Linked DNA regions of Lonchura striata. The protein of the gene in region 3 interacts with the protein of the main gene of each other region in a biochemical or structural test. Links are inferred from orthologs where the notes say so. Each region holds a gene or a part of one and is shown on either strand. Other genes may lie near its edges.

Region 1 (6,811 bases), on a different chromosome or scaffold from region 3:
AACAACATGCTCTTGTGAACAGATAATGTCTGATCCCAGCTGTAAACATGTCTGTTAAGGCTGATGTACTAAGAAAAGGATACAGAAGAAAGCAAATGGCCCCTTAGCCCTTCAGGTAAAAGCAGTTTTATGCAAGGAGGGTTTTTTTATCTTCAGATCCACACTGCAGAGCAGAGAAAGGACAGTGCAGTGGGACTGAGCACATGGGGTGTGGCACTTTTCCCTAGGCCCACCAGGGGACCTGTGCCCATCCTGACAGCCCATCCCACAAAACACAAATTGCATGCTGGCACATGGCCAACTATATCAGCTACTATCATATAATTTCCACTGAAAAGAATTTCCAGATTATTTCTTTAACCGTTTTAACATGAAAACATTAAAGAACCAGCGAGCTGGCCAAAAGCCACTCATTTTATACCAATTCAACCAAGGAAACTCCCCATTTAAAGATGTGTAGGAGGAAGAGTCCCACCTCTATGTGATGTGCTTTGATGTCTTTCTAAATGGCCTAATAATGGAGGAATAGAAAAAAATGGGAAATTTTACTACAAGCACATGGAGAGGAGGACTTCAATATAAGTGAAGCTGAAGGGATAGATAAAGTATTTTAAGGCCTGGATCACTATTTGTCTACTTCTAAATCATCAGTGGATCTTCCTCAAGGCTCACTGCTCTGGAACTAAGAAAAAAAACCACTCAGCACCATTCTGCTGGGTAACAATTCAGAAGACTGGCAAGTGAACCAGTTCCCTCCCTGTGAGGTGCTCAGGCCTGCTGGTGCAGAGCAGGCAATTATTTTGCCTTCATAGCTTGCAAAGAGAAGAGAGCTGGTCAGTAGCAGATGTTGGTAAGGTGAATCTTACAAAACAATTAAGAGATGTCACCACCTGAGGCTGACTCAGAGATGCACAGAAGAATCCTGCAGTGGGTTAGTGGTGGTAATGTGTCAAATGTGATCAGCCCTCAGCAAAAGCTGGACTTGATGATCCTTGTGATTCCCTTCTAACTCAGAATACCCTGTGATTCTGCAAAAGTGTCCTTAAATTTACTCTTCAGTGACAGCACCAGCACCACTGTTTCACCATGAGCTACTCCCTTTCAAGTCTACTTCATATTTGAGATCAGTGTTTCAGAGCACTCCTTTCCCACAAGTGGAATAGTGCTTTTAGCTCTTTCTCCATATTTCATCCAGCTCTCAGACAGCTGAGCTCCATCCATATTTATCCCATGCTATGTTAATGAAGTATGTGTGATCTGCTGTCCTCTATCCTGACAGGGCTCTTTCCAACTACAATTACATTCTGCAATTACATTCGCATTAACCAGTATTTCCCAGAGAACCCAAAGAACATCAGGGACATCAAAATATTTACAAAGTTGTGAATATTTACAAAGTAGTTTCCTTAGACAGAAAGAAAAGGCCATGAGTTTTCAATGTGCAGTTGGAAAAGTCTGCTGAACATACTTAAGCATGGCATTTGCAATTATGTGCAGAAAAAGCCAAAGCAGAAATCCTTGCAGATAAAGAAAGAGTGGCAGGAGTAAGATTTTGGAGCTCAGAAGGGATTTTTGGGAATTGCTGTGAATTACAATCATAGACCAGAAGGCTGGGCTCATCAGGTCTGCAGAAAAATAATTTAAAAATCACATTAACCTGTATGAAACCAGAATGGTTGTATGTGCAAACTATTAGCAGTTCAGCAAACTCACACTCATCATTTTGGTGTTTGGACAATGCTCTCAAGCATTGGTGTGAGTTTTAGGGCTGTCCTGGGCAGAGCCAGGATGCAGAGCTTGATGATCCTTGTGGGTCCCTTCTAGCTCAGGATAGCTGTGATCCTACAGGCATAGTCAGGCACTGTGCTCAGTACTACTGGTCTTGGGGTTTCAGTAGTTTTGGAAGAACTCGAGCAATGAAACCAGACAAGAGTTAGTCCATTAGGTATTGTGGCCCATTTTCAGCACATTAATCCATGCCATTCTAAATCTTGTGCTAGTATTGAAAATGTAAATTTTTATGATTTTCTGAATGAAAGGCTTTAAAAAAAATACTGATTCTATCACTACTTTTTGAGAAGGTTGTTATTGTTTGGGTTTTGGTGTTTAGAGGTTTTGGTTGTTTCTTTGTTTTCTTCAGAAGAAGAACTTTTTTGATCAGAACAAAACAAAGAAACCAAGAACAAGTCCTCTACCCTTAGCAGACTGTAAGTTCATTCATGGAAAAATCGCTCCTGTACTTGGTTGTGATTCCACAGTACATGGAGGGGAAGTTTTGAATTCAGAGACCTCTGGAAGAAATAAAACTCTCTTGACAGATCACCTTCAAGTGACACAAAACATGGCACCTAAACTCCAACACCATTTTAAACTTGTTTGCCCTGAGGAAAACAATGTATTTTCAAAATATACATAGTATGCAGACTGGTTGCCACTTGGAATGGCTCCTGATACTTACTTTTAACCATGTAACCACACCTGCGGTGCTATAGATCCCACTTGTAAAAAGCAAATTAATTGCAGTAATTTCCTTTCACAGCAGAAGCTCTTGGAGAGCATCAGTCCCCAAAAACTCATTGTGCCCACAAGTGGTGAGCCCATTCGTGATGTTGGCTGGTGCTGAGGAGCCCACCAGAGTCCTCTGGCCAGACAGGGATTCTCTGGCCTCCCTGGTGGTCTTTCAAAAAGGAAATTCTCAAGCTTGTGCCCATTTTTGTTGGTCCCACAGCATTCAGACAGCCCAAACTTGGGCAGGGGGTTTAGACTGCACAAAGAGCTCCATGAGCCCAGCGTAGTGTGGGGGCTGCCAAGAAGGGAAAAGAGAGTTCATAAACAAGTTGTATGCAGGACTGGAAAGGATACTAAGTAAGTTTAAAGATGAAACAAAATTGGTAAGAGATGTCGATTGCCTGAAAGGAAGAGGCCTTGCAGACAGACCTCAACACATTAGAGGGCTGGGCAATCACCAACTGTATGAAGTACGAAAAGGACAAATGCCAGTTTCTGCACCTGGAACAGAGCAACCCGGAATGTAGAGACAGACTGGGGAACTAGGAAAGGGACCTGGGTGTCCTCATTGATGGGAAGTTGGGTCATTGATGAGCCAGCCTTGCCCTGGCAGCCCGGAGAGACAATCCTGTCCTGGGGACATCACATCAGGAGTATCATGGCCAGCTGGGCAAGGGAGGGGATTGTCCTGCTCTGTTCTGCACTGCTCTGCCTCACCACAAGTGCTGGGGGCAGTTTTGGGTGCCACAATATAAAAATCTGTTAAAGCTATTAGAGAGGTTACAAAGGAGGGCTACGATGACGATGAGGGGTCTGGTGGGGAAGCTGCACAAGGAGCAGCTGAGGGCACTCCGTCTGTTCAGCCTCAGTTACAGCTTCCTCATGAGGGGCAGACATTGATCTCTTTCCTGTGGTGAACAGCGACAGGACGTGAGGCAATGGGCGAAAGCTGTGTCAGAGGAGGTTTAGGAAAAGGTTCTCCACCCAGAGGGCGGTCGGGCTCTAGAACAGCTCCCCAGCGAGGCGCTCACAGCCGCCAGCCTGACAAGAGTTCAAGAAGCGTTCGGACAACGCTCAGGCACCCGGTGCGAGTCCTGCGGTGTCCTGCGCAGGGCAGAAGTTGGGCTCGATGATCCCCGCGGGTCCTTCCAACCCCGCATATGGGTGACTCCGAGTTTACAGACAAGCACCGGCCCAACGCCGCTGCGGCTGTGCCGCGGCCCCGCCGCCGCGGAGGCGCACGGCGGTGACGCCTGAGGGGCGGCGGCGGCGGGGCCGGGCCGGCGCCTCTGCCAGCCCCGCCGGCCGCTCGGGACGCGGCGGGAAGAGGGATTTAGCGCTGCGGACGGAGCTTTCCCTTCCCTGCGGAGAGAGCGGAGCGGCCGCGGGTCCCGAGCGGCCGGGCCGGGATGTGAGGGCGGCGGCGGCGCGGCCGTGACGCGGCGCGGGGCGGGGCGGGGCGGGCGCGGGTCGGTCCGGCCATGCCGAAGCGCTCCTGCCCCTTCGGGGACGCGGCCCCGCTCCAGCTCAAGACCCGCGTGGGGCTGCGGGAGCTGAGCCGCGGCGTGCGGGGCGAGGAGTACCGGCGGGAGGTGTTCGGTGAGCGGGGCGAGGAGCGGGGGGCGCCGGGCCGGCCGCCCCGCCGGGGGGATGCGATGTGCCGGCCCGCCGGGGGGATGCGATGTGCCGGCCCGCCGGGGGGATGCGATGTGCCGGCCCGCCGGGGGGATGTGCCGTGCCGGCCCGCCGGGGGGATGCGATGTTCCGCCCCGCCGGGGGGATGTGCCGGCCCGCCGGGGGCATGCGATGTGCCGTCCCGCCGGGGGGATGCGATGTGCCGGCCCGCCGGGGGGATGTGCCGTGCCGGCCCGCCGGGGGGATGCGATGTGCCGGCCCGCCGGGGGATGCGATGTGCCGCCCCGCCGGGGGGATGTGCCGTGCCGGCCCGCCGGGGGGATGCGATGTGCCGCCCCGCCGGGGGGATGTGCCGGCCCGCCGGGGGGATGCGATGTGCCGCCCCGCCGGGGGGATGTGCCGGCCCGCGGCCATGGGGAGCCCGCCCGTAACTCTGCTCTCGCCGGCAGAGAGGACCCGGCGCCTGCTCTTCAGGGGTGCCCAGGCGTACATGGAGGGCGCGGCGGCCGCCGCCCGAGCGGCGGAGCCGGGGCCGGCCGGGGAGGCGCAGGACGAGGGTTCCCGCTGGAGCGGGCAGCTCCTCATCGGACACGACGGGAAACTGCGGCGGCGGCCCGCGGACAGGGGTGAGTGAGTGCCCGGCCGGGTCGCGGAACCGCGCGATGCCCTGAGCTGCAGGGACCCGTCCAAGTGCAGCTCCATCCCAGGACACCCCCGGCGTTCCCACCATGAGCCTGAGAGCGTTGTCGGAATGATTCTTAAACTCTGGCACTTCCCAGAGTTTAAACCTTAACCACTTCCCTGGGCAGCCTGTTGCAGTGCCAGACCACCCTCTGGGTGAAGAACCTTTTCCTAATATGCAAGCCAAACCTCCTCTGACGGAGCTTGAGGCCATTCCCTCTGTTCCTGTCCCTGGTCACTACAGAGACCAGTGCTGCCCTTTGGCTTCCCCTCCCTAGGAAGTCTGTAATATGATGAGTGGTTTACTGCTGTGTGGTTCTTCTTTATTGACTTTCCTTAAAGGAAGTGTTAGATTTGAGCTGACAGATTTCGGAACTGTCGCGTGTTGTGTTCTGCTTTAGATCACTTTGCATCTTGCCGCTGAGCAGAGAAAGAACCAAGGACGTTCCAAGCGGCGCTCCCTGTCCCTTCTCATTCCCGAGCATCCTGTGGAGTGCTGCCACCTGTAGCTGTGCACGGACGCGCTCTGCAGCTGCGGGAACTTCCAGCTGCTTCCCCTGCCTTGCTGTAGAGCTCATCCCTTCTTTTCCGTGTCTTTGCCGAGCAGTTCCACCGGTGGGAGCGTCCAGAGCCTGCTCGTCGTGTGTGAGAACGGCCGATGTGAAGGAGGCGTGTGCGCAGTGTGACCGGTTCGTGTGCCAGAGCTGCAGCAGGCTCTGCAGCTGCTGTAACACCGTCACCTGCTCTTTGTGCTCCGCTGTTGAGTAAGTGCCTTTCGAGTTTGGAAGCTTATTTTAATTACACATGGCCTGGTAGCTGGGTGCAGCCGATATCTGGCTCGTACCCATAAAGGAGTTAAACAATTCTCTTGCTTTAGCAGCAGTAAAACTGTCTGAAACATGCAAATTAAAATGCCTGTGTGAAGCACTCTAATCAACCGTAGTACAAGTCTAGTTCAGCTTCTTACTTAAATGCTGTAGGAGGCAAAAATTTCTCCTGCTTCCCCACCAGCAGGATAGCATGCTGGCCAGTGCTGAATGCATGCACTTCCAAGGAATAATCTTAATTTTTTTCTCTCATTGTTAACAGTTCTGTGGATAAAGAAATACTGAGTGTGCTGTGTGGGAGTCCCATGGTTGCAGTTGATAATGGAATAGTATGCCATTGTTATGTTCCAGAAACAGCAGGCGCTCTGACTTTTGTTTCTTCTGTTTTGTTTCTTTTTTTCCCTAGTTATGGTGATGTGGGAGAGCAAGTTCTCTGCAATGGTTGTTCAGTATTTCAAGTCTGAAACTTGATGAAATAACCCTTGTGGCTAAAACATCCATGAATTTCATGAAGTCTTCTCCTTACAACTGGTTAAATAATCCTTTTAGCATGTGAATTAGTTATGGAATTTCTATGTTTTATACATTATATTGTACTTTTAATATTGTAGCTAAATAAACATTTATATTTTAAAGCTTTTTAGATTGAGTCGGCTTTTTCCTTTTCCCTAGTTGTGATGTGCCTGTCTGGAAGGGACCACTCTGTGCTTTTACCTGGTGGTCCTGATGTGATACAGGATTCCGAATATTCTCTTCACTTGTTGGTCATGTTAGGACACACTTTTGTGGGATCAGAATAGAAATCAGTTGCTCCTTCTGTGCTTTCAGGTGAGTGTGAATCCATTCTGGACACACAACATTTTCTTTGCGAGCTATCTAGGAAAATCAGCCAGGCCTAAGGGCTTTTCCAAATAAGACAATTTGCTGATTCTGGTTAAGTTTTTTTTTTAAGCTATCACAAATATCTTGTGGTTACTGACAGCTTGAATGGTTTTAATCTTTCTGTGGTAACTTTAATAGAAAGAGCAATAGCACACCAGGCTTGGAGCAGAAAAATTTTTCTCATTAGTAAATTTTCCAGTACGTTCACTGAAAGGTCTTTCTTGGAAAGCAAATTATCTGTATGAGTTTATCACCCACTCTGTAAACTTCATATTGTT
Region 2 (6,165 bases), on a different chromosome or scaffold from region 3:
GTTTTGAGATTAAACAAACAGCTTTCAATTAATAGCTCTATTAAATACTCATGACATGCACTAGCAGTGCACACATTTATATTTTATGTATACATACTATATATATAAACTTATCCTATATATTTATACTATAGACTAGAATTATGCAACACTGTTGATTCGTAGAATTACAACTTTTAGTCTGCAAAACAACATCCTGTAACAAAAAACCTTTCAATAAAGATAGTGATTGTCTTCAATAAATTTTAATAATTTGAATAAATTTGAACACCACTTGATCCCTGTCCAGCAGGATCCACACTTTAGAGAAGAGGAACAGTCAAAGATCCAGCAACTGGCTTTTCCTGTGTGGTGTGTGATCCGAAGTTCCAACAGACTGACACTTTTTTTTATTTCATCCTGGAGGTGGGCTGAACTCCTCGGTGAAACATGGCTATGGGACATGAGGACCAGAGGGTGACTGGGGAAACTGGGTTCCTGAAGGTGTTCTCAGACCATGGTGAAGGGCAAGTTCAGTCTTGTCCCAAATCTCCCCATGTCACCAGCTTGCCCGAAGTCACCACAGCACAGTTTAGAGGCTCTGCCCATTGTTATCTTTTTCTTCCCATCTGGCATTCATATGCCAGTATTGCTGTAACATTCTTCAGAGAAAACACGTGATAGCCATCCTCAGCAGCTGCAGTCAGGTAAATACAGTGCAGCGACATTTGAAGTTTCTTCATCTCCCAATGTCTGTGGAGCCTCTTCTTCCAAATCCGCAAAGCCAAGGTCCTCCTGCGTTCCGCTCGCCGTGTCCGCGGGCAGCCCACGTCCCGGGGCAGAAGAGCTTGGCGAGCAGGTTCAGGAGCCTCTGCCGCAAGTCCCACCTGTCGCCGATGCGGGTCAGCTCCAGGGCGCACTCCACCGCCGCCTCGCGCCCTGCGGAAACGCGCGTGGTTACCGCTTTAAAGGGACCCCCACAGTACGCCACTTTATGTCCAATTTTTTTACCTTTTACTCATCATGAAGCACACCCCATCCCGCACCCTCTCTGCCCCCACTCACTGGGAGCAGCAGCTGCATCCCTCTCGCCTCCAAACGAGCGTCCGCCGCCGCGCCAGGCGCTGGCCGCCCAGCCGGTGCTGGAGCCGGGCAGCAGCGCCCGGGAGCAGGACGGTGTGTCTCTCTCCGTCCCTGTCCCTGTCCCTGTCCCATCCCATGCCGTCCCGTCCCCCGCCTTTCCTTTCCCCTCCGGTACCTGCAGGAGCGGCTGGCGGCGCGGTTTTGCGCGGGGTCCGGCCAGGCATCATCGCGTCGGCGGGACGAGGATCGGCGGGGCACGGAGCGCCGGGGCTCGGCGAGACTCGGCACGGGGAGCCTAGGCTCGATTCGGCGGGGCACGGGGCGCCCAGGCCCGGCGGGACGCGGAGAGCTCAGGCTCGATTCGGCGGGGCACGGAGCGCACAGGTTGCTCTCGGGCCGGTGGCAGCAGCGTTGTGCTGGCACGGGGGCGGAGCGCGGCGCTAAAAGCGCGGTGCAGTCCAGCGGGGATTTCCCTCCGTCCTGACGTAGCGAAAAGGCGCGGGGATCCCGCCCCCCGCGCCCGGCGGGCAGGCGGCGGCGTGCCCGGGCGGCGCGGGGCCGCGGCCGGGACACCGCCCACGCTGCCGGCCCGGAAAGGGCTGGAGCAGTGCGGTGTGCGGAGCGGGAGGATGGGCTGTGCGCGGAACAGAGGTGGAGGGATGGGGACTGCTAAGCGAAAAGGGGATGGAGGCGTGGGGTGGGTTTGTGGTGGGTCAGGGGAGATGAACAGTGCGGTTTGTATCATCAGGGCACAAAGAGGCAGAAGGGCGAGCTGGGCTTGCTCTAGGCAAAGAGAAATGGGAGGGTGGGCTGCGCTTGTAATGGTGGTGGTCCAGGGAACGTGGACAGGGTTGCAATGATGATGCTGAGGAGGAAGAAGTGGAGAGATGGAGAGTGCTTGGACAAGCAGAAGAAACAGAGTGTGTTATTATCATAGAAGCATAGAATAGCTTTATTTGGAAGAGACTTCTTGAAGGTTTTCTAGATCAGTCCCCCTGTATTTTGCTGCTTGTAGCCACAACGGCAGAAAGATTGTCACATAGATCAGGTTGCTCTAAGCCCCATTCAACCTGACCTTGGATGTTTCCCAGGATGGAAAATCCGCCACTTCTCTGGGCAACCTTCACCATACAAATAAAAAACTTCTTCCTTATAGTTAACCTAATCAATGCACCCCTAGTTTAAATCATGACTCTTTGTCCTATTGCAAAAGCTCCTTCTGAAATGTCTGTCCCAGTTTTTCTTATAGGCCCCCCTCCAGATACTGAAAGTCTGCAATAAAGCATTCCCAGAGCCTCCTTTTTACCAAGCTGAGTAACCCCAATTCTCTAAGCCTTACTTTTATTCAAAGTGATAGTGACCTTGCACTCACACCAGCCATGGAGAAACAATCTCCATGTACCACTTGCAACAGCTTGGGGGCCACTCCCCCGCACTGCTGGATATTTCCTGTTGCAGTGCAGGGTCTGCATGGCATGGTTCTGGCTGACACATGACAGGGCACACTTACCTGTGGCTGCTGTAATTTTAGATGGTGTTTTTTGCAGGAAACAAGAGCTGGAACAAAGTCACGCTCATGTCTTTGTGATTGTTGCAGAATGTTGGGAGAGCTGCCAGTGATACGTGGATCACTCATCTGCCTCCTGTCTCTGAGAGAGTTGATATTTCATGTTGTGACACATGCCACGGACTTCTGCTTTTAGGGGAAAATGAAAACTGCTTGATGCAAAGAAAGCACAGATGGGTCAGACATAACAAAGAACTGATTTATGGCTGAAAGTCAGTAAATTACTACCTCTCCCATCAAAACAAAACTTAAAATGTCATAGTGTAATACGGACCCATAACAGGATGTTAAGAGGCTCCATTTTATGGGGTAGAAACCTCTGAAGTCAAGTGTGTAGAAATGCTGGTGACTTTGAAGTTCCATTAAAAGGGGAAGCATTCACCAGCACAGTGCAGACAGCCTTTTCCCTGCTATTTCCCAGAATGATGGAAAAACATCTTGAAACATGGCTGATTTCTCTCCCTGTGTAGGAAACCTCAGCCCCTTGGTGCTGACAGGAGGCATCTGGCACAGTGGTGCTGCAGGGCTGGCATGTGGGAGGGGCAGTGATACAAGCTCACAGACAAGACATTTCTCAGGGTGAGACATCTAAATTAAAGCTATAGCTGGATGAAGCTTTTGCAAGGCCCTTCCCAAAGCAGTAAACCAGCTCTGTCAGCACCACACAGTGCACCCTGCCAGATCGTGACCTGGTGTCAGAGCAGCTTAGGTTGGCCACAGAAAAGTTTCTAATGTTTTTGAGGATGCATTGCCTTTGTCTCTCAGCTGGTATATAACCTATAAGGCGTGTGGGCTAATTTCCTTGACCTGATATGTTTGGGGTCCCTTCAGCTGTATGAACATGCCTGTTAGTAACTCAGCCCTGTTCAGGCAGAACTGGCCTTTTTCAGGCATTCCTGTTACATAAGAAACTATGTCTTCAAAACAAGTTTGTTGGGTTATAGGAGATGGCAAGGCAGGTAAACAGGTCAGGAGGATGTTTGCATGATGCGTCATACCTCGTGAAGGAGGTGTGGTGGTCTGCAGCATGTGATGCCTAGGGCTGCATCTCATAGCCTCACTCCAAGAGCTGCTCCACAAATCATGGAAGCCTCTCCAGAATGTCATCACAAGGGGCTAGGGCCTAACTGAGACTGCCATCTTACTAAAGGGCACCCCACATGCCCCTCCTGCCCTACTCGGTGCTCAGCAGAGCCCAGTGCAGGCAAAGCACCCACAAACTCAAGCCATGAGGTCATACTGGTCTCTTATGCCACTGGCATGTGTGTGTGACTTTGCACATTTATTTTGCATGTTTAGACAGAGCCATTTATGACTTATGGCTTGTTCTTCTTTGTGAATCTGGAGACAGATTACATCCTTGGCAAATTATTTAAATTACTCTTCATTAAGTAAAGCCAAAACCAAATTAACCTCAATCAATCCTGTCCTGCTCAGCAACACTTCCTCACCCTGAAGGGAGATAAGCTTAAAGGGCAGCTTCTGTCTATACCCCTGCAGCCACACAAAGAGATGGGCGCTTCTTTTGAGTCTGTGGGGGAGAGATTCTTTCCTATCAGTGCATAAACTAGTGGGATGGTTGAGTTGAGAGCATTAATTTATATTCTTTATTTTAAAGTAGTGAAAAAGATAAATAAAAACAAGATAATATGTAATAAAGGATACAAGATAATACAGAAGGATAAAAGGTAAAAAAAAAGGGTACACTTTGGTGTGCAAAATAGGTTAATAAACCATCCTGTGAGCCCAAGTACCTGAAGTGCTTGTTTTCCAATTGCTACAGTCAGAGCCATGTATCTGAGTACAGTGGTGTAATGCAGGGAGACTCAATACTGCTTAGAGGGGAATTGCCTCAAGTTCCAGATTTGGCCCACATCCTCGCAGGGTTTTACTGGTGTGTGAGGGAGTTACTGATGTGTAAATCACAGCCCATTTTGGCGGGAACAGTGCATGTTGGGGCCGCTGCTGATTATAGGATTGTGCAACAGGCTGAGCGAAAAGAAGTTGATTGTGGTTTCAAAAGCCACTGGCAAGCTCTGATGTTTTCTTGTTTTGATTCCCCTAAACAAAGAAGTATATCTGTGGGAAGCACAGACCCCTGGGAGTCTGCTCTACCAGAGCAGCCACAAAAGTTTTTCTTGCTGTGGCCACACTGAGCAGGACCACAGATCGCCAGGTGGGCTCAGCCATGGCAGAGAACAAAGCAGTAGCTCAAGGAGCACCGGCCAGCTGGAGCTGCTGTTCAGTTTATTTCTGCTTAGTACCATTTAAAATTATTGCAATTACACAGCTGAGAAGAGAAAATCATCTTTAGATAATGTGCCCCAGGCTTCACTGCTGTGGGTGATGTGGTTTTATCAGGAGCATGTCCATAAAAGACAGCATGTGACATACTCTCACCACACATAACAAGAGTGGGCAGGCTTGCTGAAAGGAAATTGAATGTTGCAGAAACGAAATCAAGAGAGGGAGAGAAAGGAAACTAGCTGTTTTTTTTTTTTTTATCTGAACACAGTTATTTGTGCTGAATCATTTTCAAGCAGTTTCTGCGCCTTCCTCTAAGATCTTAAATAAATCTCTGATACTGTTTCATCATTGGAGTTTATCTTCTCATCTTCCCAAAACTGGTGTTGACAGCTCTCGTGTTAACTGAGAAGCTGTTTGTTTTTCTGTCTCCCTTTTCCCGTTTCTGCAGACTGCAGAGTTGACAGTTCCTGTTGATCCATGTGTGTCTATGCACCCGATCAGGAAACTTGGCTCTATTGTCAGGAGTACAAACCAAGGTCATTTCAGGAAAGTGCACTGGCATGTGGCCATGGGCCATGCCAAGAGTGTGATGAGAGCCATGGATAAGTTTTTGTTTGTTTGTTTTTGTGGTGTTTTGGATTGGGGGTTTTTAATTGTTGTGTTTTTGTTGGTGGTTGTTTGGGTTGGTTTTATTTTTGCTGGGGTTTTTTTCATGTATCAGTCTGATTCTCTGGTTTGCTCTTCTCAGACATCTTTCTTCCAGGGATCTCTCTCATGGTTATGAATAAAGCTTCCTAAGTCCTCCAGCCTTAGTCATTAATCTCAACTTCATTTTTCAGGGAAATAGCCTTGTTCTGTGTTAATAATATTCTGGTGGCAACTGCAGTAAAACTTTGGCCTCCAGTAGCTACTGCTGCTGACACGTCCACTGTGGTGAGGGAAAAGTTTAATGTAGCTTTCAGTAGTTAAGTAAAATACTCCAGCTAATTTGTCTTTGACTTGACAAAGTGATCCCACACCATCCAGGAAAAGAAACTAAGAAGAACTGCACATCCACTGCTGGGCTATAACCCCCCCTTGCACAGATCTCATGTGCTGTTTAAATGTTACTTAATGCCCCACAATTATTTCTTAGTCTTTCCCTCCTATGCTGTTCTCTCTTGCCTGCTTCCCTTGAAAGCTTAAATGCATAATTTTCTTAGTAAAAATGAACTGCATGGTTGCTCATATATTACAGTGCTCTGTCACTACCAGAGGGTTAAACACACACTTTTTTCTCTGTGACTGCC
Region 3 (7,717 bases):
CCGGGCTACTAATCGAAACCAAGCTCCGCTCCTTGCCTGAGCAGCCCCACCCAGGCAGTGCCCCAGGGCGGTCACATTCCTGGAATTCTTTCAGTCTTCCTGAACTACCTCCCTCTCCCTGGGTGCACCAGCTCTCCCCTTCATCTCTGGGGTCCCCAGCATTGCTGGCCAGGCACGGGGAGCTGGGGAGAGCCTCTTCTCTGTGAGGAGGGCACAGAACACAGCACTGGGCTCAAAGGCTCCTGTCCCCTTCCCAAAATGCTGGGCTCTGCCAATGGACCGTGAGCTGAAGGGGGCCAAGAGGCCTCAGCTCCCAGCAAGGAGGCAATTCCCCACTGTTTAGATGCCAATGCCTGACAGCATGAACTCTTTCCAATGGGAACCGGTAAAGGTTACACCAGCAGGGAATCACTAAGATGCAGAAGCCAAATGAAAACTCAGACATCTGTAGGTCATATACCTCCCGCCGGCAGTCCCAGGCTGCACCGCACAGCCGGACCCGGCATTTCAAGAATGCTTCCTGAAGAAATGCTTATTCATGTTAATACCTCACCACTGAGAGCTCCCAGGGTTTGCTGCTGGGGCAGCTGGGAGCACTGCTCCCTGCCAAGGGAAAAGCAGCTGCAGGCTTAGAGCTCCCCAGCACAGAGGTTGCCTCCACCTCAGCTCTGGCTCCCACCACACCAGCTCAGACAGTCCTAGAAGCCCACCCACCCCCCGGGATCTGCTGTGGGATTCACTTCACCATGAGCAAGGCAAATGCTGTTTCCAGAATGAAGAAGTAGCTGTTACCTCAGCAAACCACCAGCCAGCCCACCACAACGCTGGCTTTGAGAGGAGGAAGCTCCACTCCCTGCTGTTAATGACACCAAGAACATGCCCCAGAGCCATGGCTCTGCTTGAAGAACAAGCTTGGATGACATTAGATTTCCAAAGGCTCTTGGAAAAACAGGTCTTTTACATAACATCCAGGGAGAAGGAGAAAAAGGAGGGATGGAGAAAGACATATCTGAGCACAGACTGTGTCAACACGGTGCGTTGGCCCTCTTGGGACAGTGTTTAGAGCACAGAAGGCAAGACCACACACCCCTTTATTCTCCCTGCAAGGAGTAGGACAAGCTCTAGCATATACATTGCAGGGAGCTGCACTCCAGCTTGACCAGCTCCACTGCCAGCCTGGAGCAAGGGAAGGCTTGGGCAGCCAGCCCCAGCACAGAGAGGTGATCTTACCCATCCGCCATTCTCCTGGATCCAGGGATCTAAGTGGTCGGTCAAGTACGTGGTCATCCAAGACACGATGCGTTTCACCAATACCCTCATCTCCTTAACAACGCTCTCCACGCACAAGGCTCCTCCGAAGGAGAAGAAAGCCACGATGCGGCCCCAGTTCACTCCATCGCGGAACAGTTCGTTCACTACCTGCTCAAAGCTCTGATACGCTGTGCTGGGAGTGATGTGGAGCTGGGAAGTGAGGTCGCTGAACGCCCGCCGGTACCTCAGCTCAAACTCATCCCCTGCCTCTCTCAGTGCCTGCCTCACATCGGCTGCTCGACGGATCTCATGGACTTCGAGGCTGCTCTGGTGCACGGTGGCTCCATTCACTATGTGGCTGGTGGCCGCGTGCCAGGAGGGGCTCCCGTTGAGGACCCCGTCCATCTCGTCCTCCTCCCCTGCAAAGTCAGTCCTGTTCTCATCCTCCTCTTCCAGCTGACTCCAGCTGTATCCTTTCTGTGAGAGCTTGTAGGAAACAAAGTCAATCACTAACTCCCGGTTACTGCTGTACATTTTCACACCTGGGACGCCCTCAATGAGTCCATGGTCCGGAGCACAAGCTGATCAGCACTTAGCAGGTCCCGACTCCACTCCTCTTCCTCGCGACCGATGGAAGCATCTGACCTTAGCACAGATGAGGAGAGAGGCACCGAAACGGTTAATGCCACAGCTCTTAGATGCACCCGCGCCATTACCACCGATAGCTTATCGTTATACTGAGATCACCCCGCAGCTCTACGCCGAGGCTCAGGGCCACCAGATTGAAGCTGCACAGAGAACCGACCACAACCAACCCCCTTCCCCGGAAAGCAGCCTTGAGCCCCGGGGACCCCCCACAAGCTCGTTCCGAGCAGACCCCAGATCTCACCGGGTGCGGGCTGCGCCTGGCAGGCCGGCTGCGGGCCGGGGCGGAGGCGGTTCTTGTTCTGCTGGAGCTTCGGGTCGGCCCGGAACGCGACAGCACCGCCCCCGCCTCGCCCCGCCCGTTAAAGGGCCCGGCGCCCCCGCCCCCTCCGCCGGCGTTAGCCACGGCAGCGGGCGGGCAGCGCTACCCAAGGACCACGGCAGCCCCGGGGCGGCCCGGTTTGATGGTCACCGCAGCCCCCCGCCACCCCGAAGCCCCTCTCCCCTCGCAGGCGGAGAGCATAAACCGCTGAAAGCCGGCGAGCGCTCGGCACCGCGGGAGCCGCCGCACGGCCTCGCGTCCCTACGGGAGCGATTCCAGTCACGGTTAGCGGCGCGTAGCCGCTGGGGCCGGGACGGTGACACGCCGGGCAGCGGCAGGCGGGAGCGCCGCAGGGGGTACCCGGTCCTCCCGAGCAGCAGACTGCCCCCCACCCCCCCACCGGACCGCGTCCCCCGGAGCCCCGCACCGCCCCCCCGGCCCCGGGACGGCCCCACCGGTCGCCGTACCTGGGGGGCGGGGCCGCGCACGAGGGCCGACAGGGCGCCCGCGCGGCCGACACGCCAGCCAATCAGCGGCCGCGAGGGGCGGGGCCCGGCCGCGGCCGCTCCCTTTGGCCGAGCCGCGCGTCACTCAAGCTTCACCCTACCCCGCCCCTCACCTCAGCGCCCGACTGAGGGTCCGCGTCCTTCCCGGCTCTGCTGGGCGGGCCCGGCTGGCAGCGACGCCGGAGGTCGCCGGGAGCCCCGCCGGGGCTCGGCCCGCTCAGCAGTCCCCGGATCCTTTCCACATCGCCCGCCGAGCGGCCGGGGGGGTGCGGTAGGGTGGGAGGGGGCAGCAGAGGGGCGGTGCGCATGCGCACAGCGCTCTGAGGCTGGGCGAAGAGCGTCGGTTGGACTGCGCGGGGGCACGGCGCGCACGCGCCACGCCGGCTGGGCCGGTGCGCATGCGCGAATGTGCCGGGCGGAGGGCGGAGCTCCGGCGCCCCCTGCCGGCCGCGGCGGTGGCAGCTCGGGCCTCCGCTCTCGCCGCGCCCTGCGGACACGGCCCTGCCGCTGACACGGCTGCAAACCCCTCAGAGCACTCCGGGATTAACGTGGGGTGTTTTGTGTCTCCACAGTGCTCAGGGAGCCCGTGCTGGGATTGTGAGGGGAGGTTTATGGGGGTAGTGCCGAAGCTGTGAAAGCGACTGTGGCAGCAGGGGCCTGCCCCGCCGTTAACAGCTGGCTACCCATCCCTCTGCAGCACTGCGGGGAAGATTATGCACTACTTGGGGTCGAAAACGCCACTGCGCAAATGGCACTTTGTCCTCACAGCATCGAGAAACCTAGCCGGGCTTACCAGACGGCGGAAGCCGCCTTTCCCGGGCCCAGCAGTCCGAAGGCTGATCTGCTGAGGAACAGCGGGTGGAAGCCGGGCAGCGGACACTGATACAGCCGCCGTACCTGAGCCCGGCTCCGGCAGGCTCCTGCCCGGCCCCGCGGCCGTACCGGCTGACACTGGCTCCGGGGTCCCGCCCGCCAGTCGCTGATAGGCCACCCGGAACGACACTCAAGGCATCCCCTTTTCTGATTGGTCTACTAGGTCCCGCAGTGCGTTATGTGAGTTGTGGTTCGGTTCTCGCCCGGTCATTGTGGCGCTGTGCAAGCACGTACTACATTTCCCGTCAGACTTTGCAGGGAGAGCGCAACTGCGTTGCTTGGGGTCTGATTATCCGGGTCCTGAAGGGGTCCAGCCAATCAGCGCGCCTCAAAGGGCGTGTGCCGGGCGCTGATTGGTGAGTTCGGACTGCGGGGTCCTGTTTGAAATCCGTTAACGGCGGCGGCAGAGGCGCCGCGCGGAGTGGCGGCGGCGCTGCTGAGGTGAGTGCGGGGCGCCGGCCGGGCACCCCCGGCCTCGCCTCTCCTTCCCAACCCGCAGCCCTTCTCCATATCTGGTCGTTCTCTCGCTGCGGCTGTTCCCCAGGCCTACTCCGAGCCCAGGTATTGGTAACGGGGCCGAGGGCTCGGCTGGGAAACGGCGACGGAAGGCGGCTCCGGGCGCTCAGCCCGTGGCCGGAGCCGCTATCGCGGTCTGGCGGGCGGGCTCGTAACGGAGCCCCGGGGGCTGGTTACGAACACCGTGTTGTCCGGGGAAGCCGAGCCCGGTGCCCCCGGGCGGCAGCGGGAGGAGCCGCCGTGGCGGGCGGTTCCCGTTCCCCTGGCGGGGATCGCGGTACCGGAGCTCCCGGCGTGTGCCTTACGGTGGGGTGGGTGCCTCGGCAGTGAAATAAAGTTCTAAGTTTTTCAACAGTCACGCAATCTGATGAAACAGTGTATTTCACGGCGGAAAGCTCTGTAATGTCTCAGTCCAAATCCCCCTTCCCAGGAAAAGGAGGGAAGCAAACCAGGCAAAACCTGGCCCAAGTATCAGAAAAAAACATTCGGGGTACTATTTTTATCTGGGGCTTTTTTTAAGCTTGAAGACCTTCAACTTAATGTAACAATTAGTTGAGGTTATGGTAGCTAAAAATAATTTTATTTTCCCTGAACGTCTATTCTTAGAATGTACCATCTTTATGTCTTCTGAAACTTGTGGGATCTTTTTTAGGGAGCACGAGATGTCAGGGCTGTTTATTTTTGGGAATGGGGGCGGGTCTGGGCCGTTAGCAGAGCAAAGGCTGTGCCTGCCCTTCGCCCCTGCCTTGGCTGCCGGTCGGGGTGGTCTGCGGAGCTTTCTGCGGGCTCAGCTCTCACCTGAGGAGAGTTAAAGGCCTTTTCTCCCAGTTTGAGAATTAAATGATGGAACAGCAGCGTTCTGGGAGGTAGTGGATCCATTGCTGATTGTGTGCTGCAGAAAAGCCTAGTTGATCTTTGAGTAAGGGGCACAAGAGAGGAGGGAGAAGCTGTAGATCCAGAGTGTGTTGGAAGTGTTCACTTCCACCCTGCTCAGGGAAAAGCAAGGATGAAGGGTGACTTTCTGAGGCTGTCAGTGTCACGCAGAGGGAGTTCAGATGATGGCTTTGTGGTGGGATGGTTCTCGCTAGGCTGTTGTAAATCCATTTCTAATGCTCCAACTTACATGTTAAACCCTGGAAAGCATCCAAGACCTTTGGATTATTATCCCAATAAAAAGAACAGAAAACTCTAAGGTGCAGGACAATGAAGAAGCTGCCAGGCTGAATTAAAGCTGCCTGGTTAGTGCAGCCTCCTCTGTTTAAGTGGCAGCTGGTGTTGAAGCCCAGCAGAAGGCCCTGGAATTGCTGGAGCACATTCCCATGCAGCTGCCTCGGCCTTGGGGAAGCTTCTCTTGTTCATTCCTGGTTTCCTCTTTTGGGTTCTGAGGCATGTGGATCGGCTGCCTTTGTGTTTATCTGCTGATGTAACTTAGACTAGCTTCTTGTGTGTTTGTTATTGTTTATTGTGCTTTCTGATCCTGTTAGGATTTGCCATAAGTAACATCTGTCACTTGTGAAGTTCCAGTGGTGTGTGGTGATAAGGCATCATCTCCAGTTCACCAGGGCCTTATCTACATTGCAAGGTGGCAAGAAAGAGCAGAACTCTGCCTTCCTCAGGATCCAGACTGAGTTGGGTTGGAAGGGACCTTAAAGCTCATCTTGTTCCAAACTCCCATCACCATTCTGGGCAGAGACACTGGACCAGCCCTATCCAACCTGGCCTTTAACACTTCCAGGGACAGCCACAGCTTCTCTGGGCAACCCTTGCCAGAGCCTTACCACCCTTACAGGGAAGAATTTCTCCCTAATATCCAATCTAAACCTCTCCTCTTTTAGTTTGAAGCCATTCCCACTTGTCTTATTGCAACCTTTTGGTGTCCCTATCACTATCCTGTCCTTGCTACTCTCCCACACTCCTCCATTTTCTCTCCCTCTGACCTTGATTTCTCATGTTGGAATGCTGCATCCTATCTCCAACCATGGCCTGAATGGCTAGGAGGCTTCTTTGTCCAGGCAGATTGTGCTGTTGGAACAAAATTCACAATTTCAGTGAGACAAACACACTGAACACATCTGTGATGGAATTGTGTCAGAATTTTAAAGCTAATTTGGATTACAGCGAGGTGTGAAGTTATTCCAAAATACCTATTGCACTTGCTGTTGGATCAGTCTTATTCTGGGATAGGAATGCTTGTTCCAATTTACTGTAATCCTTTTTCAAAGCTAACTAATCTAAACCATGCCAAGGCACTCTTCTGGAACGTGCCAAAGTGTAGTTACTCAAAAGAAACCTGATGTCTAGAGGAACCCACTGCCTATTCCTCCCTGTGGATACAGCTGTGCTGCTCTGGAGGCACTTTTAGGTCAGTGAGAGAGGAGACCTAGAAAGAAAATGAAGATTTTAATTAAGTAGTCACTTTATAGAAGGAATTTGGGGTCTTTTTGCAGGCGAGAAGATCAGATCTTCCTTTCCTGCCTCAGCAGCTCTGCAAACCAGGTGAAAGCCGATCCTGCAGAACGGGGGTGAGGGTTCCCCGGCTGGCTCGCTGCAGACACCCGTGTCGACACAGGAGGTGATGGATGTGGGGGAGAGCAAGGTCATGCTTTAAGTCCACGCCGAGCTGTGTAGGATTACAGCGTGCCTGTAATCACGCCTGGGAAATGCACACAGTGCCTGCTAATTAGGGAAAGTCCCTATTAATGAGGAAAAATTTCCACGCCTCCTTTCCGGTGGATGAGTGCTGCAGTGGAGAGAAAGAATTTTGGATTGAGATAAATGTGGTTGAGCTGTCAAAATCACAACTGTGTGTTTTAAAATGCCTGCAGGGAGTGGGCAGCGGGTGTTGGGCTGTGCTTGGCAGAGCCTGTTGGCATTGCAGATACCTCATGGTGGGCACAGGAGTGATAAATCACCGGGGCATTCCTGGCTGATCCTGTCCCAGCCCGAGTCGGTGGGTGGAGGAGCAGGATGCCTCTCAGTGAGCTGCTGCTTCACCCTCAGTCCTGTTCCGGGCAGGACTTGGAGGATATGTGGGGATTTCAGAAGCAGATGTCATGAGTTCATCTGACTGAATGAACTTTCTGGAGCGCAGTCACAATAACTGTTATCTCCCAGTTGTCTCTTTCAAGAAACAGAGTATGAAACTGAGGCAGCGATACAATCCTTTTCTTTTCCTGACTATTCTCTTCTGTCTGGGATAGAGGGGAGAGAGAGTGGTCAGCAATGAGGTCGATGATGAGGGTGGTGACACTGTGGAATATGGGCTCTACTCAGTAAAAAGCTGCAAACTGCAGCAATGTAGCAGTGGGCACAAGTAGCTGTGAAACATGATGCCCAGAGCTCTGACTCTGACTGGAGAGGGTGAGGGGAGAATGCAGATGACGCATTTGATTTTTAAAAAAGTCTAAAGTGTTGACAGAAATTCTATCTTGATTAAGGGCGGTAGGAAAGCATTTGATTCCAGCCATGTCTCGAGCTCAGTTACAGTTGGTTTTGGCTCTAATTCTTATGTTTGCCTTCTTTGGGCCCTACTTTGACATCTTCCCAGCCATGTAGCTGGTGCTTCTCTAATGACATTCTTGCCTTTAACTATCACAGCTCTGTT
Region 4 (6,897 bases), on a different chromosome or scaffold from region 3:
AAAAAGCCAGCCAGTGCTATCAGCACTGATACAGCTGATACTAGTCTGCTCTTCTATCTCCTACAAAGCTCTATAGGATTTGAACACAGTTAAAAGCTGTATGATCTACTGTCTTGCTGACCCTGTCTGACCCAGCAGCCTAGTGTAAAACAAACTGTGTGCTCCCCCACACATGCTAGCCATGGGTGGGACAATAGAGCCTTTCCAGGTGATCCTGGCTAAATCCCTCTTCAGCCCTCTCCCCACAGCCTGACTTGCTGGCCATGTGGTTCCAAGAATGGCAGGCCCTGACTCTTAATAATTGATTATGTACAGGCACTACAGGGGTCATTCAGCTGCTGGGCCGTACGTGCAGTACTAGCAGATGTTCCCCATTTCCAGCAAAGCAAAGGAATTTTCTCTGGGCAAAGTGTGGCCCTTGAGCTGCCAGTCAGAGCACCCCTTTTATAGGTGAAATCTGAGACTTTCTGGAACTACAATGGAAGATCCTTTCTAAATGTCATCTCTAATTAGTCTATCGCATAATTTTTAGTAGTCCAGAAAGACTTTCTGTCTAACCTATTGGACATTTAATAACCCCAGCTGTGCTGCACAGAGCTGGCTGCTTCTCACAGGGTTCCTGTGCAGTGATGCCAATCATTGATCTTGTCTGAGGTGTGTGAGCACAAGAGCAAAGCGCTTCTGACAGGTCACAAGGAACCAGCAGCACTCCCAAGACCAGACTTGGAACAGTTTGGTTGGGATTCTCAGGGTCAAGGACAGCAAATCTTTCACACAAAAAGACAGGGCCCTCATGTTCTTAAAACAGAAAACATTGTATAGGAAACATACAGAACATAAATGCCTCAAAGCTGAAGTGCAAGCCCAAAGTTTGAGGGACAGAGACCTCTAGATTTGCTCTTGTTTAATTGACGAGTCAATTGAAATGGTGAAAGTCTTTCCTAGAGTGCTCCACTAAAACTGTCTTTGGGGTTGCACCTGATACAGGAGACTTCCTTTTGAAAAGGGTAGGATCAAGAACCCCACCTAGAGTAAATACATGTCAGCTCCTGAGACCTTTCTCTGTGGTTAGAGGAGAGCATGTCTTATTTAAAAGAAAAGTGAGAGAGGGAAGCTGTCTGAGTAGAAAGTAGCACAGAGCAGTCCTGTGTGAATAATTGAAGTGGAATCTGGAATGCACACCGCCACATCGGGAACTTCTGGAGACCAGCTCTCATCGGAAGAACTGACTCTTACTGGAGAGGTAATGGAGAAGTTTATGGTCAAAACCTCTGTAGTCTCAGCCCAAAATGGAACAGAGACTCCAGGGTTGAAAGAGACACCCCTCATAGCACAAAGTATATGGGATTTGAAAACCAGGCACTGTTCCGGGGCCTAGACACAAATTCACAAAGGGATCATTCAGTGATGCTAAGGATAGCCAGAGGCTTCCTCCAGAGGAAAGGATTCTAGGATTTCTGAAGCTGTGATACTGGAAGAGATGAGAGACTCTAGAAATCTCCTCTTGCTCAGTTCAGGCTGAGCACCCTTGAAAAGAGCTGGATGACATTATATTAGAGATATTTTTGTTCTTTGGCACTGCAGCGCTGAATGGTGCAGACAGTGATACAGCCTCAGAAGTGTCACAGTCTAGAGACATACAGCTATCCTGACTGGCAATTTCTTCAAATAACTAATGACATTGGTGCTGCATTTGCTCAGTGCAGGGGAATTTTTCTTTGGTCTGCTGCTGGCATGGCCTCTATTGTGTGCTAAACTGCAAATCAGAGAGTCAAGAAGGAACTCCAAGAGAAGTTTGTGGCACACAAGGTGTCCTTCTTCAGGAAGGTAGCAGAAGCCTTTGTAATCAACCTCTTTGTAAAGAGGATCAACCAGCACACCCAGCTACTTTTCTGCTGAGCTGCTCTCAAACCACTCTTCCCCCAGCCTGTAGCACTGCCTGGGGTTGCTGTGACCCAAGTGCAGGACCGGTACTTGGCCTTGTTGAACCTCATACCATTGGTCTCAGCCCAGTGATCTGGCCTGTCCAGATCCCTCTGCAGAGCCTTCCTACACTCCAGCAGATCAACTCTCCTGTCCAACATGGTGTCACCTGCAAAATGACTGAGGGGACACTCAGTCTTCTTCTTCAGGTGGTTGATAAAGATATTAAACAGGACTGGTCCCAGCACTGAGCCCTGGGTTTCACCACTGTTTACCAGACACCAGCTGGATGCAGCACCATTAACCATCACTCCGGGCCCGGCCATCAGCCAGCTCTTAACCCAACGAGCAGCCATGGGCTGCCAGTGTATCCAGGAGGCTGCCGTAGGAGACAGTGTCAAAGGTTTACTGGGGAGCAAGGGGAATTCAAGTGGAACAGGAAAGAGGAGGATGATGACCTGGGATATCTCTGAATGAAATAGTTTGAAATGTTTCTCTAATATTTTTTTATTCATGCAGGAAGACTAGATTTTCCAACTTTTCCTCATGTCTTTCCCAAAAATGCTTCCAAGTATGTCAGAAAAAAAGTAATTCCAGTGACAGCTTTTGTGCAGGTTTTCCTGGAAGTAAGTAACTATTTCTAACTATTGATCAAAATTAGATGGTAAGTATTACTGCTGAGATAAAGATTTAAATCCCCTTAGAGCAGTACTCTTCTCAACTTAATTATTGTTAACAGGCTACTACAAGTTGTGTTCTGTGGAATCAATTCATTTGAACAAAATATATATCCAAGTCTTTCCAAGGCACAGGATTAATTCACAAAACATTGTCAAGTTCAATCCATTAGCAGAAGCATACTTTGCAAGTTTTCTAGCTCTCCAGTCAAATATCTTAGAATTAGAATAATCATACTTAATAATTTTAAAAAAGGATAGCATTTTTGCTAGTGAATTTTTAAAATTTTATAACTACAAATTTGTTTTTTTGTTACATACCTCTTTTTAAAATCCAGTTTTCCAACAGTCACTGCAAGAAGAAAAAGAAGAGCCAGAAATATTGTACTTAGGGACTCTGACTGCTGCATCTCAGGCATAGTGAAGAGTTGAATGAGATGGAGGACAGTGTCTGCATATCTGCAGTTCTAGGAGGAGAAAATGATCTATCCCAGTGACCTATCTTTCTTAGCTGTTCCCAGGATGCCCATCATATTAGCTCCATCTCCCCTGTCTGGAAGGTAGTAACACAGAAAGCTGCTATTTGACCTCATTCCTTTATCTAATCTCATCTATCAAGACTGTGTGCAGCAACTCAGTATCTGAGCACCTCAGAGAAATTACATGAAGTCAATAACCTTCTTCGGCATCTCCTTTTTGTACTGGAAAAAAGCAGTGCTTATGAACAAGGAAAACCAGGTCGGTGCTCAGTATTCAGCTACTCATACCCACAGGGAAAGTGCAGAGAATGAATAGGGGGGGCAGAGTGGTGGATAAAAGAAGTTCCACTTTCTGTGGAAGTCTTCCAACAGCCACATCATAGCCACTCATTAATTATAACCCAGCTGATATGGAACCCAACATGTTTGACATGCAGCACAATTGTCTTAAGATGTTTAACAGATGGTGAAAAGTGAACTGCAGGTAAATTGTTGGTCCCAGACTACTCAAATAGCAGCAGAGCCAGAGCTGCACTCCTTGGGCCTGGATCCAGGACAATAAATTCTCTGCATTGGAGTTGAGGTAGCCTGGCAAGGAAGATTTTTATGCTTCAGTGGACTCCCTCACACAGATCTACTGTGGAGTACAACTGCTTGTCACCTTCCTTCATCCCATCCTCCAAGTATACATTAGTGAAACATCTATTGACTGTGTTTTGCACAGGGGCAGCATGTCCTACAATATCCCACTGTACACACCCCCTGCTCACACGCCAGAGATTGAGAAGGTGGATGAAGTGGGCCTCGAAACACCCAGTTTGACACCTGAGTAACCTTCAAAGCTGTCTCTAGGCAAAAAAGAAGCAAAGATCCCAGGGCTTCAGACAGCTGGAACCTAGTTTGACAAGGATGGCTTTTAGCAGCTCTGCTGGCTCAAGTCACCCCAAGACAAGCCCTCACACCCGCTCTCCTTCCCACCATGTGCCACCCTCTGCTTCTTTTTCATAGTAGCTGTTTGTGGGATTGGATGGTGACCCAGACTGACCACGACGGCTCAGGGATAAGAACCATTGGTTTGGGCTGTTTAAGCCAGCATTCCTACCAGAAGGAATATCTGTCATCACAGTTCAGTGCTTAAATATAAGCCCATATACTGATGAGGCTGCTTGTCTCAGCTGCTGTTGCTGAAGCTTCTGCTACATTGCCTGTTGACAATAAGTAATTTGCTATGTAAATTCTCATAATTTCTATGCTTCAAAATAATTTTAAAGTCTGCTGTAATAAATGTTGGCCTCTTGAGGAATAACAGAACCCTTGATTTATGCTCTTACAATTACCTCTGTTAAGTAGTCACAGCACTTAAAAAAAAGATCTTAGAGTGGCCAAAGGCTATTTTGTGCACCTTCAGGTCCACAGTTCAAATGCCACATAAAGTTTAATTGCTTTTCTGATCTGGGCTGATCAGTCCTGCTCTTTGCAGCATGGTCCTTGCTGCCTTCCTTGCTTGCCATCAGTGCCAGCTGAGAGGGGCTGGAGCCTTTGGCACTGTATCTACAGTCAGGCTGAGCAAGTGGTGCCTGCAATTTATAAGGGATCATGTGCTCAACTTCCATAAATAAATGAAAGAGACAGAGTCATCCTTAGGAGCCTCGTCACCTTTTAGGCACTCATGCATACAGTAAGTGCACTGGGCCAGCACAACAGCTCAGGAACAAAATGAGCGATTAATTAAACAAATGTACAGTAACAGAGGTAATGGAGTAGCTATCTCACAGTGGGAAAGCTTCCCAGAGCCATCTCACCTGACCAAAGCCTGGATTAAGCCAGCAAGGTGGAAAGGAAATGAGCAAAGAAGAGCTAAGCAAGTTTTAAAAAGATCAGAGTTTGTGACTGTAAACCAGGAATACCTAGTCCTGTCCTCAGGGTACAGACACATTAAATCATCAAAGCCTGTGAAACTTCCAGCGCAGAGACATTCTCCTGCCCACAGCCAGCATGGAGTAACCTGAGACTGTTTGGTCCTGGGAGGAGGAGGAAAGGCAGCGCCTCACATTTGTGTTGGACAGGTAAGCACTGTGCAGCTGGTGCTGGCACCCTTCTGTTCATAGCCCAGCAGTTTTGCTGCAAATGGTTGTGTCCCTATCCTCATTTACACCAGCAAGCTGGTGGGAATATTGGTGCAGGTTTTACACTGCAATTGTGGTTAGTTTTCTGCTGAAAGGGGGATATTTATGTTGGTATGTTTGATGTTTATGTACCTTAAGTGTGGCATCTTCCATCAAACAAAGCCTACAGCAAACCATGGCTCTGAGCAAAGTGATGGTAGGTGATGGACGTGCCCTAGAGAAGTATTAAGAGGTCCCACTGTATGTGAGAACTTCTTCTGTCTTTAAGGCAAACACATCCAGGTATCATTTGCTGAGATTCAATGCTAGAAGTTTCAGGAAAGCAGTGCATGACTGAGAGCCCAAAATGAAATGGAAGAAAATATCCCTCAAGTCTTTAAGCTTGAGTGAATATAACAGCAGTGATTTGGGGAAAATTGTTCCAATACCAGTATCAACAATGCCTAAGTCCTTCCAATGCCTAAGTGCCTCCTAATGTGGCAGAGGAGTCATCTTAAAAGCCACATGGCTACAGGTGGTACAATTGACTAGTCCAAGACTGTTCATGAAATGTTATTTATAACTAGTTCTTGAAACACTCTGTAAAACACTTATTTTAAGCAAATGTGTTACAAACAAGCACTGGCCAGCAGATCTAGTGCAAGAGCATTACCTGAAATTCTAAAATCATCTGTGGATTTAATTTATTTCCACAATAGATGTAAGCACAGGACACACACACTTTTTCGCACATGTATAACTCCAACATAGATGCAAAAATAAGGAAGTGTGGCATGGAATAAATAGTTCCTAAAAATATCTGGTGGGAAGCATTAAATTTCTGTTCAAATAGTCAGCTTTGTACTCTTCAGCTGGAGATAGGTGGATTAATCATTCCTCAGGGAACTGCTAATTAGAGTAACTGGGAACAGATAAAACAGCCAGAATAAGAATAAGAGTTTTAGTCTTCACTCATGTAAGTGTAATTCCACAGTGATGCTCTTGACTTTATTGGAATAGATCATGGTTCTTTGTGCTGTGGCCTGGTGGACTGTCAGACCCTAGATGTGATATTATTAAAAGAGGTTTTTCTTTGGTGCAGTAATAACGCCCATCTTTGTTCTAAAGCTGCAGAAACTGACTGGACTGTATCTCCCTTAGTGGGATGTCACCAGTGGTGCAAGTGATACACAACTCCCTCTCCACTTCAGGAAACAAAGCAGATTAGAACATACACTCACACTACAATGGTGGCATTTCAAAAATGTCATGTTTTCAGATTTACATGAGTATTACAGTTTACTTGGAAAAAAACTCAAAGTAATCCTCCTCTCCTATTTTTTCATTAACAAACTAAACACTAATTTTGACTAGCTCATTTTGTTATGGGAGTAATGAAGAATTTTTAAATATTTGTATGTTCTCCACACCTTCAGCTAGTGCCTTCACTAGGTACAACTTGTTTGGTTGTCTGAGTATGGCATATCTAATTGTGCCAGCTTGTTGGAGGGCAATGAGCTCACTGCCTAGGAAGTCCAGAACACGATGCACCATCCTCAGCTGCCTCCTACATCAGCAGAAGAAATCAAACTTGCCCCAACAAATAACATGCAAAACAGAGGAAGCATACTGATACTGGGATCTTCTGCATAGTGATCTTCAGCATTTTGCCTAATCCCAGTGAATTCACAGCAAACAATATTGCTGCTGTCC

The links.
Region 1: the proteins of BCL2L1 (region 3) and SIVA1 form a complex in vitro, tested with the Homo sapiens proteins (2 studies listed by BioGRID and IntAct). The link is inferred for Lonchura striata from reciprocal best matches to the Homo sapiens genes BCL2L1 and SIVA1.
Region 2: the proteins of BCL2L1 (region 3) and PMAIP1 interact in a biophysical measurement, tested with the Homo sapiens proteins (3 studies listed by BioGRID and IntAct, with this or other methods). The link is inferred for Lonchura striata from reciprocal best matches to the Homo sapiens genes BCL2L1 and PMAIP1.
Region 4: the proteins of BCL2L1 (region 3) and BMF interact in a test that uses a peptide from one of them, tested with the Homo sapiens proteins (2 studies listed by BioGRID). The link is inferred for Lonchura striata from reciprocal best matches to the Homo sapiens genes BCL2L1 and BMF.

Annotation. Positions count from the first base shown.
Region 1 is NC_134608.1:8,754,324-8,761,134, reverse strand, and holds SIVA1 (apoptosis regulatory protein Siva), read left to right. Parts: upstream 1-3,965; 5' UTR 3,966-3,989; coding exon 3,990-4,107; intron 4,108-4,592; coding exon 4,593-4,769; intron 4,770-5,431; coding exon 5,432-5,588; intron 5,589-6,057; coding exon 6,058-6,115; 3' UTR 6,116-6,296; downstream 6,297-6,811. UniProt on the Homo sapiens protein: Induces CD27-mediated apoptosis. Inhibits BCL2L1 isoform Bcl-x(L) anti-apoptotic activity. Inhibits activation of NF-kappa-B and promotes T-cell receptor-mediated apoptosis.
Region 2 is NC_134642.1:39,295,311-39,301,475, forward strand, and holds PMAIP1 (phorbol-12-myristate-13-acetate-induced protein 1), read right to left. Parts: upstream 1,290-6,165; coding exon 1,238-1,289; intron 919-1,237; coding exon 719-918; 3' UTR 524-718; downstream 1-523. UniProt on the Homo sapiens protein: Promotes activation of caspases and apoptosis. Promotes mitochondrial membrane changes and efflux of apoptogenic proteins from the mitochondria. Contributes to p53/TP53-dependent apoptosis after radiation exposure. Promotes proteasomal degradation of MCL1.
Region 3 is NC_134619.1:7,570,122-7,577,838, forward strand, and holds the start of BCL2L1 (bcl-2-like protein 1), read right to left. Parts: upstream 3,006-7,717; 5' UTR 2,838-3,005; intron 2,740-2,837; exon of another isoform or gene 2,686-2,739; intron 2,272-2,685; exon of another isoform or gene 2,141-2,271; intron 1,897-2,140; exon of another isoform or gene 1,892-1,896; 5' UTR 1,786-1,891; coding exon 1,231-1,785; intron 1-1,230. UniProt on the Homo sapiens protein: Potent inhibitor of cell death. Inhibits activation of caspases. Appears to regulate cell death by blocking the voltage-dependent anion channel (VDAC) by binding to it and preventing the release of the caspase activator, CYC1, from the mitochondrial membrane.
Region 4 is NC_134608.1:32,359,882-32,366,778, forward strand, and holds the start of BMF (bcl-2-modifying factor), read right to left. Parts: upstream 3,022-6,897; 5' UTR 2,922-3,021; intron 1-2,921. UniProt on the Homo sapiens protein: May play a role in apoptosis. Isoform 1 seems to be the main initiator.